Yarrowia lipolytica: one gene and its partner. The protein of the gene in region 2 purifies or fractionates together with the protein of the main gene of each other region. This does not show direct contact. Links are inferred from orthologs where the notes say so. Each region holds a gene or a part of one and is shown on either strand. Other genes may lie near its edges.

Region 1 (3,509 bases), on a different chromosome or scaffold from region 2:
ATATCCATCTGCTATCTTGGCTTGGGTGTAGAGTCAGGTGACCTTTTTTTGTGGTCGCGAATACTTTCCTCGCTAAAGGATCCCAGGGAGCTCTTGAAGTTTTTCCCAGGCTAAAGTTTTCTCTCTCTTCCTACCAGTACATTTCGGACATACCAATAGCGAGCTGTTGAATGCATTCTTTGAGCTACTGTAGCGAAAAATCTGACGTCGTCGGAGTTAGACAGGAGGGTTTAGAACTGGATGAAACCGTTTCCACCGGAGACTACTGGTACGAACATGGCGAATGGGGTAGAGACAGATGCTCTGATGGACAGACAACCAATATTATCCCAAAACAGTATCGATATACGAAAAGATTTTCCAGACTACTTGCCACAAATGCAGCGAGCTGCACATTGATGCGTTCATGCAAGCTACAAGTACGAGTAATTTGACGTATTGGGCACTTCAAGGCAGTCTTTCGAAATGGCCAATCTGGGAGCTCGCTCACCCTCCGAGATAACTGTTGGGCACACCAGCAGGTCTCAGCAACGGTTGAAAATGGGCTCTCAGTTCAACTAATGATCCAAGAAAATACAAGTACGATGTTGTGATTGGTCGGACTACTTGTAGACGACACTAGCCAAAGCGAAAAGGCACCCACCCTATCTGAATGCTGAGCTGTGTTCAGCCCCAACTCGGAATGCTGAACTGTTGTAAGTCGATAGCCGATAGATATATATCGTAGCAAACACAAGTTGTTGACTCAAACGCATTGACAAGGAAGTACAGATCCGAGAAATTGTGCCGTGTCAACTGCTCCCAGGCACGGTCTCAATTGGGGCTATATCTCTGTATAGAGTAAGCCAGGTTGGCCCCCCACCCACGAGAAATGCACCAACCAGTCGGCGAGCTCAACAGCCGTATGGGAGCCTCTCGTTTGATGTATGTGTGACAGGAGGTGTATATTGGGGCTACTGGGTGAAAATAAAAACGCGAGAGAGAATATAGGGGTTTCAGCGAAATCCCAGTGGAGAGACCGAATCATAGTATTATAACTATGACAGTATCGTGCGCTCTCCTCTTTCATCACTTCTCTCCAATATGCGTACCATCTATCACCACTCTCTTGCTTAGCCTCCCTCCCTCCCTCTCTCTCTGTTAGACCCCCACACGCTCAACAGTACTCAATATCCGCGCAGAAAAATAAGGTTGGTGGGACATTTCTCCGGTGTGAGCGATTAGTGGGTTGTGGTGGTGCCCATAGCAGACCTAAAATTGACTCTCCTCACTTGACAACACACAGATAGAACCTGCAACTTCATCCAAGTGGCGCTTTTCTCAATCCAGTCCGTGTGAAAACAAGACAATTGACCATGCTCACTGCCGCTCGACGATCTACACGGCTCACCAGCCGACTCGGCCACCAGGTCCGAGCATACTCCATCGCTGACGATGCCGACAAGGTGAGTATTTTTTTCGCCCATTGCGTTGGGGTGTCGTGGATTTGGGTTACAGGGAGTTTTTCCGAAACATACGCCTCACGAAACACGACGAAACGGACGACACAGACATGCCATCGACGCGGGACCCCTCGGAAATGATTCTACGGATGCCATTACCCCTGGCGGTGGCGTCTCGTTGACGCTGCTGAGATTGTTAATGAGAAACGGGCCTAGAGAAAATCGAACCTCTAGGAACGCATGCACCCGGAAAAATTATTCCTCACCCACCAGCAATCCATCACAAAACGTGGCAAAACAGCTTCAATCGACCGTATACTAACCCCAGAAATGCACAATCACGCTCAAGGAGGATTCTTACACCACCTACATGCTTGATTCTCCCCCTCCTCTCGAGTTCGAGATGACCAAGGGTGAGCTTCTGCAAATGTACAAGGACATGGTGACCGTCCGACGACTCGAGATGGCTGCTGATGCCCTCTACAAGGCCAAGAAGATCCGAGGTTTCTGCCATCTGTCTACTGGTCAGGAGGCTGTTGCCGTCGGTATCGAGAAGGCCATCGACCACGACGATTCTGTCATCACCGCCTACCGATGCCACGGTTTCGCCTACATGCGAGGTGCCTCTGTCCGAGCAATCATCGCCGAGCTGCTCGGAAAGCGAACCGGTGTCTCCTACGGTAAGGGTGGATCCATGCACATGTTCACCGAGGGTTTCTACGGAGGAAACGGTATTGTCGGAGCCCAGGTCCCCGTCGGAGCTGGTCTCGCCTTCGCCCACAAGTACCTCGAGCAGACCGGAAAGGCCACCTTTGCCCTGTACGGTGACGGTGCTTCCAACCAGGGTCAGATCTTCGAGGCCTACAACATGGCCAAGCTCTGGGACCTCCCCTGCATCTTTGCATGCGAGAACAACAAGTACGGAATGGGTACCGCTGCTGCTCGATCCTCTGCCCTGACGCAGTACTACAAGCGAGGTCAGTACATTCCCGGTCTCAAGGTTAACGGAATGGACATTCTGTCCGTCTACCAGGGAGCCAAGTTCGCCAAGGAGTGGACCACACACGGCAAGGGTCCCCTCGTCATGGAGTTCGAGACCTACCGATACGGTGGTCACTCCATGTCCGATCCCGGAACCACCTACCGAACCCGAGAGGAGATCCAGTACATGCGATCCCACAACGATCCTATTTCTGGTCTCAAGGCCCACATCCTGGAGCTTAACTTCGCCACTGAGGACGAGCTTAAGTCTGTGGACAAGGCTGCTCGAGCTATGGTTGACAAGGAGGTTGCCCTTGCTGAGTCCGACCCTGCTCCCGAGGCTACTGCCAAGGTTCTGTTTGAGGATATCTACGTTCCCGGCACCGAGCCTCCTGTGATCCGAGGCCGAATCCCTTCCGAGGACTACTACTTTAAGAACTAAGTAGAGTAGAATGTAATTACTAATGTACGAGCCGTCGTTTTCTGAGAATGAGTAGAAAGCAGGAGTACAGTACATAGATTGGGTGAGCTTGAAGTGATTGTGGAAAATGTTGCGAGAGAAACATGGTGAATAGTAAGTGAGAAAGAATTTATCCCATTTATTTTATCATTTTTTGCCCTTTTGAAGGCACGCACTCGGGCTAGTACAAGCATCTGTCGTAGAATCTGCAGTATATTCTACTTGTAAATTGACCCTGCTGCACTGTGGGCTCACCACCCAATTTTAACATCTTGTTATGCATATGGTTCAGAAAATAAGCACATCTACGCTGAAATAAATCCTTCACGCAACACCCACGACACCAAGCACATCATGTCGAACAACAATGACATGTCTCGTTACAAATAGTGAGTATTAGAGGGGATGGTGTGATATGACTCGGCTTTGTGTGACAAACGCCATTCTGGATCACTTACTAACTACAGCGAGGAGATGTCCTCTATTGTGGTGCAGGCCGATAGAAGGCACATCAACAGAGAGAGTGGCGAAGACAAGGCTATTCCCGAGTCTTTAGTGGGAAAGATCAACGTTAAGGATATGGGATCTGGTGTGCGACGGGAGGTTCCGGATGCTGGGGTTCGTCA
Region 2 (3,567 bases):
TTCGAAACCTCTGGTTCAAGATCGGCGAGATGTTTGGCTACAAGCGGGTGGGTCAGATGCCTATTTAAGGCACTCCCACAACAACAATCAGGAGTTGTAGCAAAGCACACCCGCTCAGACAACCCCACTGGTACTCAAAAAACACTTGCTGTTCTAACAGAAGCCCTATAACGAAAGTATTAGCATAGATTCGTGCGGATTTGCGTAGCCGATATGGCCCAACTGTTGTATTTGTACTTGGCTAAAGCTCAACATTCCCAATCGCCGTTGACGTCAGAAATTTCACCCAGCCAAAAGTTGTGCTAATATTAAGTAGTCATGTTGGGCTACTGTAATTATGTGGGAAATAAATGATCGTTGAATGCACACACTGAAAGTCATTACTGTACTGTACAATGTAAAATGTTACTTGGCGATGTACAATTGGGATACATACAGTAGACACTGCACATAGCGCACATTAGATATACAAGTACAGGCACTTAGGGTCCTGTATCTAATATGTTACTGCCCGCTCCTATCTCAACTTGCTGTCTCAACACCAAGCAGTGCCTCTTGTGTGTATGCATGCACGTCAAAACCGCACACTGTTCAATTGGTGGTTTTTGCTCCCTTCCTACAGACTTGTACATATTTACTGCTGTACACCTGCTCTGTACGTACGTCCAGTCCACGCCCCCGTATAGCTGAAGCTCATAGCTATGTTTGCATCTAGATTATTCCGATAGTAGACACCAACAGGGTAGATCCTCGAGGGACGCACCATGTATTATATTGTGTTCACGTGACATGTGCGTCTTGGTTAGTAATTCCAAGCTCCGATAATCGGACTTCTGAGCGTGTTGAGCTTTACGCTCGTCTTGGACCCCCATTTTTGCTACCGCCAATAGCCACTCACTCTCGTGTACACAGCAGTAGGCTCTCCTCTTTAGTCCTCTGTGTGACGTGGGGGACCAACCTAAATTAGTCCGGGTGGACGTGTCACTAGAACGTTGTAATACCAAGGTAGTTGCGCTTGTTTTGACCAAAAATGTGTGACAAAACATTGCCAGTGTATCCAGTCTGGGAATTGAGTCGTTCTATAACCGTCATTTCCACTCCACTTCCGCGCAACGCGCTGCTGAGCACTCGGAAAATTAGCTCGAAAAGTTTTTCCGGGTTATGTGACCCGCCAGCAGGTTAGGCTCTATTCTGTTGGGAAATAACTCTCAACCGCCCCTCCGAGCTAAATCTCTCACTACAAGACTCTTCATCGACAAACGATATCTGAGATCTTTTTCGGTCCCACAGCAACAAGCCACAAACATGTCTGCCATCAAGCAATTGAACCGTCTGGCCGCCACCGCCAAGACCTCTGTTCTCAAGCCCGCCTCCAAGCAGATTCTGCTGCCCACTGCTGGCCAGCAGGCTGCCATCCGAATGATGGGCCAGACCCGAGCTGCCTCAACCGAAGGCGGCGCCACTAACGTGAGTATTTTTTGTGTGAACGACACGATATATACACGACGGCCGTGCGCTTGCGGCTTCGCGATGCGCCCTGAATGGGGCAACTCGAGCGTTGTGTAACGGGTGTTCATCAACAGCAAACAGTGCTTTTCGGACTTAAGACATGGCAGAAGAAGCAAACACGGTTATAGCGAGAGAGATCACAATGGAGTGACGAGCTTTCAGTGATATTTGCCACCAGTCAAATTTTCAGCAACTCCTGAAACGCACCCATTTTATCATCATTGTGACGCGGACATTCAGCCTCATGCTGTAACTGCACTCCGTGTCTGGAGCTGCCGGAGTTATCAAAGCTGTAGGTGCCAATTGTGAAATAGCGATTCGGCGATTCAGCCGTTGATTGCGTTCCTGCTATGTCGCAATTGTACAATGCTCTGTACACTTCCAACAACATCAACATGACAACACCCAAAACAACGTACTAACCTAGATGACTGTCAGAGACGCCCTCAACACCGCACTGCGAGAGGAGATGGACCGAAACGATAATGTTTTCATCATGGGTGAGGAGGTCGGCCAGTACAACGGTGCCTACAAGGTCACCAAGGGCCTTCTCGACAAGTTCGGCGAGAAGCGAGTGGTTGACACCCCTATCACCGAGATGGGTTTCGCCGGTGTTTGTGTCGGTGCCGCCCTGGCCGGTCTCACCCCCGTCTGCGAGTTCATGACCTGGAACTTCGCCATGCAGGCCATTGATCAGATCATCAATTCCGGTGCCAAGACCTACTACATGTCCGGAGGTACCCAGCAGTGCAATGTCACCTTCCGAGGTCCTAACGGTGCCGCCGCTGGTGTTGCTGCCCAACACTCTCAGGATTTCACCGGGTGGTACGGCCAGATTCCCGGTCTCAAGGTCGTCTCTCCCTACAGCTCTGAGGATGCCAAGGGTCTGCTCAAGGCCGCCATCCGAGACCCCAACGTGACTGTTTTCCTCGAGAACGAGATCATGTACGGAGAGTCTTTCCCCATGTCTGAGGAGGCCATGTCCCCCGACTTCGTTCTGCCCCTTGGAAAGGCCAAGATTGAGCGAGAGGGTAAGGATATCACTCTTGTCGGTCACTCCCGAAACGTCGAGACCGCCCTCAAGGCCGCCGACCTCCTCAAGAAGCACCACAACGTCGATGCCGAGGTCATTAACCTGCGAACTGTCAAGCCTCTCGACACTGAGACCATTTTCAACTCCATCAAGAAGACTAACCGACTTGTCTCTGTCGAGGCTGGCTTCCCCGCCTTTGGCATGGGCTCCGAGCTCTGTGGTGTCGTCAACGACTCCTGGGCCTGGGATTACCTTGATGCCCCCATCCAGCGAGTTACCGGAGCTGAGGTTCCCACTCCTTACGCCATTGAGCTTGAGAACTTCGCCTTCCCCACACCCGAGATTGTTGTCAAGGCTGCCAAGGACGCCCTCTACATTGAGGAGTAGAGCGCTCCAGCTACAACATGTAGGTACATACAGTAATTATTGCACGGATAGGAGCTTATGTAGAGTATGATTAACGTATTTAACGCAATTCAACAAGTGACTGAAGCATATCTAATTATTCGTACAAACATTTATCTTTCATATTTTATTCGTCTAATGTATCTATATACAGCCTCAAACTCTCCAGCTTGAAATAGGGAGCGACTCAAGGAAGCGCATTTTCTTGTAAATCCATCCAAAGAACAGCGTGGCTCCAATGGTGATGCACAGCATCGAGGTGATGTAGTAGCCATCGGTTTGGATGGTGCAGATACCTCCACTCTGCTCACACATGTTCTTGGCCTCCTTGGCCACACATGAGAAGGCAGCGAAGGTCTTGCCAGCCTTGGGTGTACAGGTGGCGGATGTGAACCAGTCGACAGCCTTGAGAACAATAATCTTTGGCCAGAGACCGCCCAGGTTGGAAATTGTGTTAAGGGTGGTCATGTAGGTGCCTCCGATGACAGGGTCAGCAATCTGGGTATGGAAGGCAGTAATAGAGATGAACTGGATGGTGCTGAGGAAGGAGTTGAGAACATGCATGATGATGACGACCATGAAGTATCCAAATCCAATACCTTCTCCGGACTTGGCTCGCT

The links. The genes of interacting proteins can lie anywhere in the genome.
Region 1: the proteins of YALI1_E31947g (region 2) and YALI1_F27556g purify together in Saccharomyces cerevisiae (affinity purification with mass spectrometry; 4 studies listed by BioGRID, with this or other methods). This does not show direct contact. The link is inferred for Yarrowia lipolytica from reciprocal best matches to the Saccharomyces cerevisiae genes PDB1 and PDA1.

The regions. Positions count from the first base shown.
Region 1 is NC_090775.1:2,754,260-2,757,768, forward strand, and holds YALI1_F27556g (uncharacterized protein), read left to right. Parts: upstream 1-1,355; coding exon 1,356-1,445; intron 1,446-1,770; coding exon 1,771-2,865; downstream 2,866-3,509. Other genes in the region: YALI1_F27574g (uncharacterized protein), read left to right, coding at 3,238-3,272, 3,351-3,509. UniProt on the Saccharomyces cerevisiae protein: The pyruvate dehydrogenase complex catalyzes the overall conversion of pyruvate to acetyl-CoA and CO(2).
Region 2 is NC_090774.1:3,193,140-3,196,706, reverse strand, and holds YALI1_E31947g (uncharacterized protein), read left to right. Parts: upstream 1-1,305; coding exon 1,306-1,467; intron 1,468-1,936; coding exon 1,937-2,929; downstream 2,930-3,567. Other genes in the region: YALI1_E31974g (uncharacterized protein), read left to right, coding at 1-68; YALI1_E31919g (uncharacterized protein), read right to left, coding at 3,104-3,567. UniProt on the Saccharomyces cerevisiae protein: The pyruvate dehydrogenase complex catalyzes the overall conversion of pyruvate to acetyl-CoA and CO(2).